Saccharomyces cerevisiae S288C: one gene and its partner. The protein of the gene in region 1 binds, or shares a complex with, the protein of each later gene. Each region holds a gene or a part of one and is shown in the gene's direction. Other genes may lie near its edges.

The links.
Region 2: KAE1 (region 1) and BUD32 share a complex: the UniProt entries of both Saccharomyces cerevisiae proteins name them as parts of the EKC/KEOPS complex.

The regions. Positions count from the first base shown.
Region 1 is NC_001143.9:509,183-515,047, reverse strand, and holds KAE1 (tRNA N6-adenosine threonylcarbamoyltransferase), read left to right. Parts: upstream 1-1,888; coding exon 1,889-3,049; downstream 3,050-5,865. Other genes in the region: SPC34 (Spc34p), read left to right, coding at 3,251-4,138; CAF4 (Caf4p), read left to right, coding at 4,415-5,865. UniProt on the Saccharomyces cerevisiae protein: Component of the EKC/KEOPS complex that is required for the formation of a threonylcarbamoyl group on adenosine at position 37 (t(6)A37) in tRNAs that read codons beginning with adenine.
Region 2 is NC_001139.9:1,015,080-1,019,676, reverse strand, and holds BUD32 (serine/threonine protein kinase BUD32), read left to right. Parts: upstream 1-1,917; coding exon 1,918-2,703; downstream 2,704-4,597. Other genes in the region: methionine--tRNA ligase MES1, read left to right, coding at 1-79; SAY1 (steryl deacetylase), read left to right, coding at 436-1,710; APL6 (AP-3 complex subunit beta), read left to right, coding at 2,927-4,597. UniProt on the Saccharomyces cerevisiae protein: Component of the EKC/KEOPS complex that is required for the formation of a threonylcarbamoyl group on adenosine at position 37 (t(6)A37) in tRNAs that read codons beginning with adenine.

The DNA.
Region 1 (5,865 bases):
TTTGTTTCTTATAAATGTTGCTGTCCTTGGTCTGTTCTTTTCTACTTTTGTTTTGTTGAGGACAATAAGAAAACAAGACTTTGTATACAAGGAATTCAAAAATCAATCTAGGAGAAAAAACATCGTCTCATTGACATTCATTTAAGTGGACTTCACCTTCATCTTTATATGTCTCATCCAGAGCGAATTCCGGAAGAAAGGTGTGTTGCCCCAACTATGCGCTTATCATGTTTAATTTACTATGAGGAGGTAAATGGCCGGTTGCTCCAGAAGATAAGCTAATCGGACGTAAGAAAAAGCATCCAAACTGACATTTAACAATCTTATCAGTTACCAAATCAAGTTCCCCGTTATCGCACTCGAGAGATATGGGCGATGTGACTTTGCTGCATGAGGTCAATGGGTAGATTAGTGAGGCTGCCTGATAGCGGCACGGCACCAACGACCCCTTATCAAAAGGAAATGGTATAAAAAAAAATAAATAATAATTATTAATAAAAATATCACTGATTACGATTCTAGTGAGCAGATAAGCGATCGGCTGAAAAAAAAAGTCCTAAAACAGATATCATGATGAAAAAAACAACCATAGATTCCACCGGATCAGTGAAAAAGTAATCAACGGACCTGTGGAAGGTCGGAATGAGTCGCCGACGGAACTCATGCTGCCCCTATTCTCCTTTGTGTCTGGTGTCAGGTCGATCTGCACAGCGTAATGATACTTCGACTAGTCAGAACGCAACATATTGTCCTTGGCACTGGTGTGTCTAATCTATTGTTGTAGGTTACGTAAGCAGGGGCAAGACACCATCTGATGGGTTGAAAAGAATGTGTAAGTATTAGAACCTTAGTTCAAACAGTAAAAAATACAGAGAGCTGTGTCTAATTTAATCATGTATGTTCTGTGTTGATTTATCTATCAATGCTTTAGTGCTTCGTAATAGTACAACTTCAGAGTGAGTATGAGAAAGTTTCTTTTAACTTTTGGCCCAGGATTTTTTGCCGGCCGGGCAACGCAATGTGTTCTCTAAATTGGGTAGTGATGATTTTATATACATCAGGTCAAACATAAACCAAGCGACAGATTTGTCGAAGATATTCGACGAGGTATTTTTTGATTACTTGACCCAGAGCGAGGTGTAAATGATGTATTTCACACGGATGGAACGCCCGCAAGAGTCTACTAAGCAAAACATGATGTTGAAATATCATCTGTTTAGTAATATTCATATTGCTAGTATACTATCATATGCGGTGTAAGAAGAGGACATAAGGTTGAAAAATAGTCATCAATCTAATGAAAGCTGAAATGCAAGGATTGATAATATAATAGGATAATGAAACATATAAAACGAAAGCAGAAAATAATCGTAGTATTATTATGTAGAAATATCGATTCCATTTTGAGGATTCCTATGTGCTCGAGTACAATTTCTAGTATATTCTGTGTATGTATATTATAGTCTTTATCATCAATGGCATCCCAACAATTATCTTAAAATTCACCCATTTGTCAAGATAATGGTTGATTCTTATTTAGACACAATAAAAAAACTTGAAGACATCTGCTTCTGAGCTGTAGAGGTACCAATTCGACGAAATATAAATATTTAAAACTAAGAGAAAAAATCCAACAAATAACGTTCCGTGATAGTTTAATGGTCAGAATGGGCGCTTGTCGCGTGCCAGATCGGGGTTCAATTCCCCGTCGCGGAGATTTTTTATTTTGCTTTTTATTCCTCCTGTAATATCGCTTTATACGGAAAAACTGAATTCTTTCATTATGATGAGTTCGAGAGTAACCATTTTTACTTCGTGCAACGATGCATATATTTATCTTTTACGTGAAGGGAATTCCCAAGCGTTCCCTAATGCAGTCGGGAGCAAAATGGTCAACTTGAACACTATCCCACCCAAAAATGGCAGGGACTACTACATTGCGCTTGGACTTGAAGGTTCTGCAAATAAACTGGGCGTTGGTATAGTTAAGCATCCGCTTCTGCCTAAACATGCCAACAGCGATCTATCTTATGATTGCGAAGCTGAGATGCTTTCTAATATTAGAGACACATATGTCACACCTCCTGGGGAGGGATTTTTGCCTCGAGACACGGCAAGGCATCACAGAAATTGGTGCATAAGACTCATAAAACAAGCACTGGCCGAAGCTGACATCAAAAGCCCGACACTAGACATTGATGTAATTTGCTTTACCAAAGGTCCCGGCATGGGGGCCCCTCTGCATTCAGTTGTCATCGCCGCCAGAACGTGCTCCTTACTGTGGGACGTGCCACTGGTGGGAGTAAACCACTGCATTGGTCACATCGAAATGGGGAGAGAAATCACTAAAGCTCAAAATCCTGTGGTACTGTATGTAAGTGGTGGAAATACACAAGTTATTGCATACTCGGAAAAAAGGTACCGTATCTTTGGTGAAACGCTTGATATTGCTATCGGTAATTGTCTTGATAGATTTGCAAGAACTCTGAAGATACCTAATGAGCCCTCGCCTGGCTACAACATCGAGCAGTTAGCTAAAAAAGCCCCTCACAAAGAAAACTTGGTAGAACTTCCCTATACAGTAAAGGGGATGGATCTTTCGATGAGTGGTATATTGGCTTCCATCGATTTACTTGCCAAGGATCTATTTAAGGGCAATAAGAAAAATAAGATCCTATTCGACAAGACAACGGGCGAGCAAAAAGTCACTGTAGAGGATCTTTGCTACTCTCTGCAAGAGAACCTATTCGCCATGCTAGTTGAAATAACAGAAAGAGCTATGGCTCACGTTAACTCCAATCAAGTTTTGATCGTAGGCGGTGTTGGTTGTAACGTGCGATTACAAGAAATGATGGCGCAAATGTGTAAAGACAGGGCCAATGGGCAAGTACATGCTACAGATAATAGGTTTTGTATCGATAACGGAGTTATGATTGCCCAAGCAGGACTACTAGAGTATAGAATGGGTGGGATCGTGAAGGACTTTTCTGAAACTGTTGTTACGCAGAAATTCAGAACCGATGAAGTATACGCAGCCTGGCGTGATTAACGATTTTTGTTACAGTTAGCCTAATGTTCACACTACGAATATATATATATATTTATATATGCCATACACCTTACATTTACAGCTCAGTGTATAACCTTGTGGAAGCGCGAAAATAAGCAAGAGACATTTGAAAATAATCAATAAACAAAGCTCAAAAAAATTAGATCATCACCTAACAAAATAAGACGTGGCAATTACAGAATGGGGGAAAGCTTGGATAGATGTATAGATGATATTAATAGGGCGGTGGACTCTATGTCCACACTCTATTTCAAGCCACCAGGAATTTTTCATAATGCCATCCTACAGGGAGCAAGCAACAAGGCAAGCATTAGAAAAGACATTACTAGACTAATAAAGGACTGTAACCACGACGAGGCGTATCTTCTGTTCAAAGTCAACCCTGAGAAACAATCCGTTTCACGTAGAGACGGCAAGGAGGGAGTATTCGACTATGTTATTAAACGAGATACGGACATGAAAAGAAATAGAAGGCTGGGCAGACCAGGGGAAAAACCGATCATCCATGTGCCCAAGGAAGTATATTTGAACAAAGATCGTCTTGATTTGAACAATAAAAGGAGAAGAACCGCCACTACAAGTGGCGGTGGCTTGAACGGTTTTATTTTTGATACCGATCTTATAGGATCCTCTGTCATTTCAAATTCAAGTTCAGGTACATTCAAAGCATTATCAGCCGTGTTCAAGGATGATCCGCAAATTCAAAGGCTCCTATATGCCTTGGAAAATGGAAGCGTGCTCATGGAAGAAGAATCCAATAACCAAAGAAGAAAAACCATCTTTGTCGAGGATTTCCCTACTGATTTAATTCTTAAAGTTATGGCCGAAGTAACAGATTTATGGCCACTAACAGAGTTCAAGCAGGATTACGACCAATTGTACCATAATTATGAACAACTTTCTTCCAAATTGCGCTTCATCAAGAAAGAAGTTTTGCTTCAAGATGATCGCTTAAAGACTATGTCACAGTACCATCCTTCTTCTTCTCACGACGTTGCTAAGATTATTCGAAAAGAAAAAGATGAAATTAGGCGGCTAGAAATGGAGATAGCCAACTTGCAAGAGTAGGGGAGCACTTCTCCTCAAGAATAGATATTTCCTTTGTCCTAATTGCATACATAGGCCACTGCAAATCATATAATTATGTATTACCTTACATCTAAATGTATAAAACCAACTGAGCGGATCCACCATGGGTCTGTCTCCTGTTAAAGCATGTAGCTTCATGTTTCTCACATAAACTTTCCTCATCGTAATGGAAAAAAAAAATAGTCATAAAAAAAAAACTAACCATGAATGACATATAAGATTACCACGAGCGAGAGTAAAAAAGAGTATCTCTATATGGGTTCGGGCGATACTAGAGGAGAAAGCTCTCTGGTAGCTAAACCAATCGAAATTATACTTAATAAGCTACCACATGCCATACTAGCGCAACAACAATTTCAAAAATATATAACGAGCCCCATCTACAGATATCTTTCCAAACTTCTACTGTTCAGAGAGGTGGCTTGGCCCGAAAGTACAAAAGATACCCAGAAAGGACAAGTAGGGATATTTTCCTTTCAAAACAATTATGCAGACTCTGCAACAACTTTCAGAATACTTGCTCATTTAGATGAGCAGCGATACCCGCTACCCAACGGTGCCGCTGAAAAGAATTTACCTTCTTTATTTGAAGGATTCAAAGCTACCGTTTCCATCATTCAACAGAGACTGTTGTTAGACAATGTAGACGGGGCCACGAATAGTGATAAGGAAAAATACGTTCAATTGCCGGATATTAATACTGGTTTTGTGAATAAAACGTACTCTAGAATTGACCTAACACATTTACTTGAGGATGTAGAAACTAACGTGGAAAATCTGTCAATCAATAAAACGTTAGAGATGGATGAGTTGACCAGATTAGATTCCATGATCAACGAACTAGAATCCAGGAAATTAAAAATCCTGGAAAGGGTTAAGCACATTGATAGTAAGTCTACCAATCTTGAGAATGATGTAACACTGATAAAGGATAGAATAAATTTTATCGAGGAATACAATTTGGAAGCTGATCGTGAACAGAGCTTACGGAAGCAAATGGAAGAAGAAAGATCATCTGAAGCGTCGTCCTTCACGCAAAATGAAGAAGCCATATCGTCGTTATGTGATGTTGAAAGTAAGGATACGAGATTAAAAGATTTTTACAAGATGCCCCATGAAAAAAGCCACGATAAAAACAGGCAAATTATCTCAGAAACATATAGCCGAAATACCACGGCTTTCAGAATGACAATACCCCATGGCGAACATGGAAACAGCATAACCGCATTAGACTTTGATACACCATGGGGAACCTTGTGCTCATCAAGCTACCAAGATCGTATAGTAAAAGTGTGGGATTTGAACCATGGGATACAAGTTGGAGAGCTGCCTGGTCACCTTGCTACTGTTAATTGCATGCAAATAGATAAGAAAAATTACAATATGTTGATTACTGGAAGTAAGGATGCCACTCTGAAGTTATGGGACTTAAATCTGAGTAGAGAAATATATTTGGACCATAGTCCATTGAAGGAGAAGACAGAAGAAATTGTTACACCATGTATCCATAATTTTGAGTTACATAAAGACGAAATCACAGCCCTGTCTTTTGATTCTGAAGCTTTGGTTAGCGGATCTAGGGACAAAAAAATATTCCACTGGGATTTAACGACGGGCAAATGTATTCAGCAACTTGACCTTATCTTCACACCTACACATAGCGACATTAAAATGCCTGCACGTTCATTAAACAATGGTGCATGTTT
Region 2 (4,597 bases), on another chromosome or scaffold:
GGCAGAATACTTGTTCCAACGTATTGATGAAAAGAAAATCGATGAATGGAGAGCCAAATATGGTGGTCAACAAGTGTAAGGTTCATCGGAAGCATTTTTTTTCCTCTCTTTTCCCTTTCAATCTTCACATGATAAAAGTGTATCAATTAATATATAGATTTTACTCTGATATAAAAACAAGTTTAAAAAACAATTCTCCCGCTAACACGTTTATACCCTTTCTTTTAGTTGAGTAATTGTGTAGTGTTAAGCTGAGAATATTCATGATTTGATTTCTGATAAATAACTTCTGCTTTATAATAACAAATGTTTAACGTGTTAGCGCCATAATTATATAGAATTGAGGGAAAAAGAAACTGAAAACCAAAAATACCCTGCGTCGCTTGAAATGAGAACAGCACAAATCAATTTTAAAGGAAAAGGTTTCAAAGAAGAATGGCAGCCAACTCTGGTCTCGACTCAAAAGTTGAATATTATCGGCTTCAAGAGAATGAAATTATTAGCGCTGTATCAAGTGAGGATGCAGATCAAAATGATGCGGGCTTTCGATTGAGTACCATCCATTTGCATTTGTTCCATGGATTGAAATTTGCCGCTCTATTGTTCACAGTGGTGCCTGTATTTATAATCCTCGACAGTATGAAGATCATTTTTCAACGCAAACGTAGGTTTTGCCTTGACCATGTCAACAGAAGTTTTTTAAGACAAAGTTCTTGGATCCTCGATGAACGCATCTGTCAATACGTGCTCAATCCTTTATTTGTTTGTTTATATCCTTCTACATTTTCTAGTCCAACATATGTCAAATGCAACATTCCTATAGAAGATCAGAAATCTCCAGAAAACAATATTTTCCAAGACCATCAATTAAACGCACCCAAAATAGTTAGCACAAAGTTTTATCAATATGTTATGCCGGAAGGATTTGACCCCACGACAGATCCAGTTTTAGTATTCTATCATGGGGGTGGTTATGCTCTTAAATTGACGCCTACGTCGTTTTCTTTCTTGAATAATATGCGAAATGCCTTTCCTAAAATGGCCATTCTTGTACCAGATTATACCGTTACAGCTACCGATGACCAGTCGAAAAAGTACCCTCTGCAAATTTTACAAAATGTGGCCATTTTTGATTACGTTGTTAAGACTATGGGGTGCAAAAATGTAGTGATTATGGGGGATTCTGCTGGTGGCAATGCTGTTTTGAACATTGTTTTATATTTAAGAAAGTGTCACAGAGAAATATACCCGAAAAAAGTCATAGCCATAAGTCCCTGGGCCAATGCCACTTTCTTCCACGAGGGAGAAAAGGAATATATGCAAGGAACACAAGAATGGGATGGTCTATGTTTGAAGAGTCATTCGATGTTTGGGCGAATGTTTGTAGGAAACAACCCAAACGTCGATTTTACCAGCGACCCTTTTGTTAATATTGAAAAGAATTTCGAAACTAAAATGTGGCAAGATATTCTGAAAAAGTGCTCTGTGATGATTACTTATGGTAGTGATGAGTTGTTGAGCTTTCAAAACAAGATCTTGGCAAAGAAAATGAGTGACGCTAGCGAGGGATGTAACCACTTTACCGCCAAAAATGTGCTGGTTGAACACCAAGGTTATCATACGGGCCCAATATTAAACTACTCTCGTAATATGGATCGCTGGACCAACATACCATCTATCGCTCGCATTCTTGAGTTTATGCAATCCTGAATTTGTCATAATGACAATTACATAACCCCTTTTATATACATAAATATTTGGGTCAGCACAAATTTATTTTGATTTTCCATTATTTTAGCAGCAACAAGGTTGAAAAAATCGCCGGCGCATCACCAACTTGAAGGACAAAGATAACCTTACTTGAAATCAAATAAGTGATGAATACGACAGCGGAAAAGGTTATACGCTTTGCTCATTATGACGCAAGAATTCATTGATAAAGTATCTTCCTACCTGACTCCTGATGTGGACATTGCACCTATTTCTCAAGGTGCAGAAGCCATTGTTTTCACAACGACTACTCACCCATATCTCCCAAGAGCAAAGGATTCTCATCAAAAGTATATTATCAAATATAGGCCACCAAAGCGTTATAGACATCCACAAATAGACCAGGCACTAACAAAACATCGTACGTTGAATGAGTCGCGTTTATTGGCCAAATTATACTTGATTCCAGGGCTATGTGTCCCTCAACTGATAGCGTGTGATCCATACAATGGATTCATTTGGTTAGAGTTCCTTGGAGAAGATCTTCCCGGAGGGCACGGTTTTAGTAACCTAAAGAACTTCCTTTGGATGCATGACCAAGATCCATATAGTGATCTTGTAGCAACTACACTACGGAAAGTGGGGCGCCAAATTGGGTTGTTGCACTGGAATGACTACTGTCATGGTGATTTGACAAGTTCTAACATTGTTCTCGTGCGAGATGGTGCGAGATGGACGCCTCATTTGATTGATTTCGGTCTGGGCTCAGTTTCAAACCTGGTCGAAGATAAAGGCGTCGATTTATACGTCTTAGAGAGAGCTATTTTAAGTACACATTCGAAGCATGCGGAAAAATACAATGCTTGGATCATGGAGGGGTTCGAAGAGGTCTATCGTGAACAAGGTGCGAAAGGTGCCAAGAAACTGAAAGAAGTTACCAAAAGATTCGAAGAGGTCAGGTTGCGTGGTCGTAAGAGAAGTATGCTAGGATAATATAAATGCTAGCGTACTGCCTGTATATCGCTGCACATAATATGTATCTATAATTTATATTAACGTACATAACTTTTAGGTATGTTACCATCAAAGCGTGTCCGAGTTATTGAGATTTTGACAAATTCAGACAAATCATTTTTGAAGAACCATATATATAAATATATAAAGAAAAGAAAGGTAAACCAAAGACAGCAAACAATCGAAAAGTGGACAACCAGCAATGGTAGATTCAATTCACCGTATTGCATCGGCGTTGGATACGGCCAAAGTAATAACGAGGGAAGCTGCCGCGGTAGCCACCTCTAAGCTGGGTGAATCCTCCTATACTTATTATTCTCAAAACATCAATCCTCAACAGTTAGTCACCTTGTTAAATTCTAGGAACTCTAGAGAAGTTAGAGATGCAATGAAGAGAATAATATCTATAATGGCTTCCGATGATGACTCTATTGACGTTCAATTATACTTTGCTGATGTTGTAAAGAATATCACCACTAATGACACCAAAGTGAAAAGACTTATTCACCTGTATTTACTTAGATTTGCAGAAAATGACCCAAACCTGACCCTGTTATCTATTAATTCTCTTCAAAAATCATTGTCTGATTCGAATTCCGAACTGAGATGCTTTGCTTTGAGTGCCCTTTCTGACATGAAAATGTCATCATTAGCACCTATAATTTTGCATACTGTCAAGAAATTGGTTACAGATCCATCTGCAATGGTTCGTGGTGAAGTCGCCTTGGCCATTATCAAATTATATAGGGCTGGAAAGAATGACTATCATGAAGAATTGTTGGATATTCTGAAAGAATTAATGGCAGATACAGATCCTAAGGTGATATCCTGTGCTGTCCTAGCTTACAAAGAATGTTATGCGGATCACTTGGAGCTATTGCATGGACATTTTCGCAGATATTGTAGAATAATTAAGCAACTAGATTCGTGGTCACAATCATATTTAATTGAGCTGCTAATCAAGTACTGTAAGCAGTATTTACCAAAACCAACTGTGGTCGATAAATCATCAGAAGGTTCCCCAAGGAGTTGTCCTTTACCAGATAAATACAACGAGATTGAATACCCATCTTACGAGGTGGTAAATGACCCTGATTTAGATTTATTTCTACAGAGTTTGAATTGCTTAATTTATAGTTCCAACCCTACAGTGATTTTATCGTGTTGCAATGCGCTATATCAGTTAGCTTCACCATTGCAGATGAAAAATACTAAATTTATTGAAGCATTGGTTAGAACGGTAACCATGACAGAAAACCAAGGTAACAAAGAAATGCTTTTACAAGCAATTCACTTCTTATCGATCTTAGACCAGACACTATTTTTACCCTACACCAAGAAATTTTACGTTTTCCCCAAAGATCCTATTGTGGCATCAATTTGGAAGATCCAAATTTTGTCCACGTTAATAAATGAATCAAACGTTAAAGAAATATTCAAAGAATTGAAATATTATGTTGCCAGTGCTCATTTCCCAGAAAATGTTGTTATTATGGCGGTTAAGTCATTATCTCGATGTGGCCAATTGTCAACGAGTTGGGAATCACATGTAATGAAGTGGTTAATTGATCATATGGAATCCCACAACCTCTCTGCTTCTGTCCTAGATGCATACGTGAATGTTATCAGGATGCTGGTGCAAAAAAATCCTACAAAACATCTTCGCATAATCTTCAAGCTTGCAGATTTATTAACAGTTCAAACGAGTTTGGCTGATAATGCTCGTGCAGGTATTGTTTGGTTATTTGGTGAAATTGCCTCGATTGAATTTAAGATATGTCCGGACGTTTTGAGGAGGCTAATCCAGAATTTTTCAAATGAGGGTCCTGAGACAAGATGTCAGATCTTAGTGTTATCAGCAAAACTGTTGTCA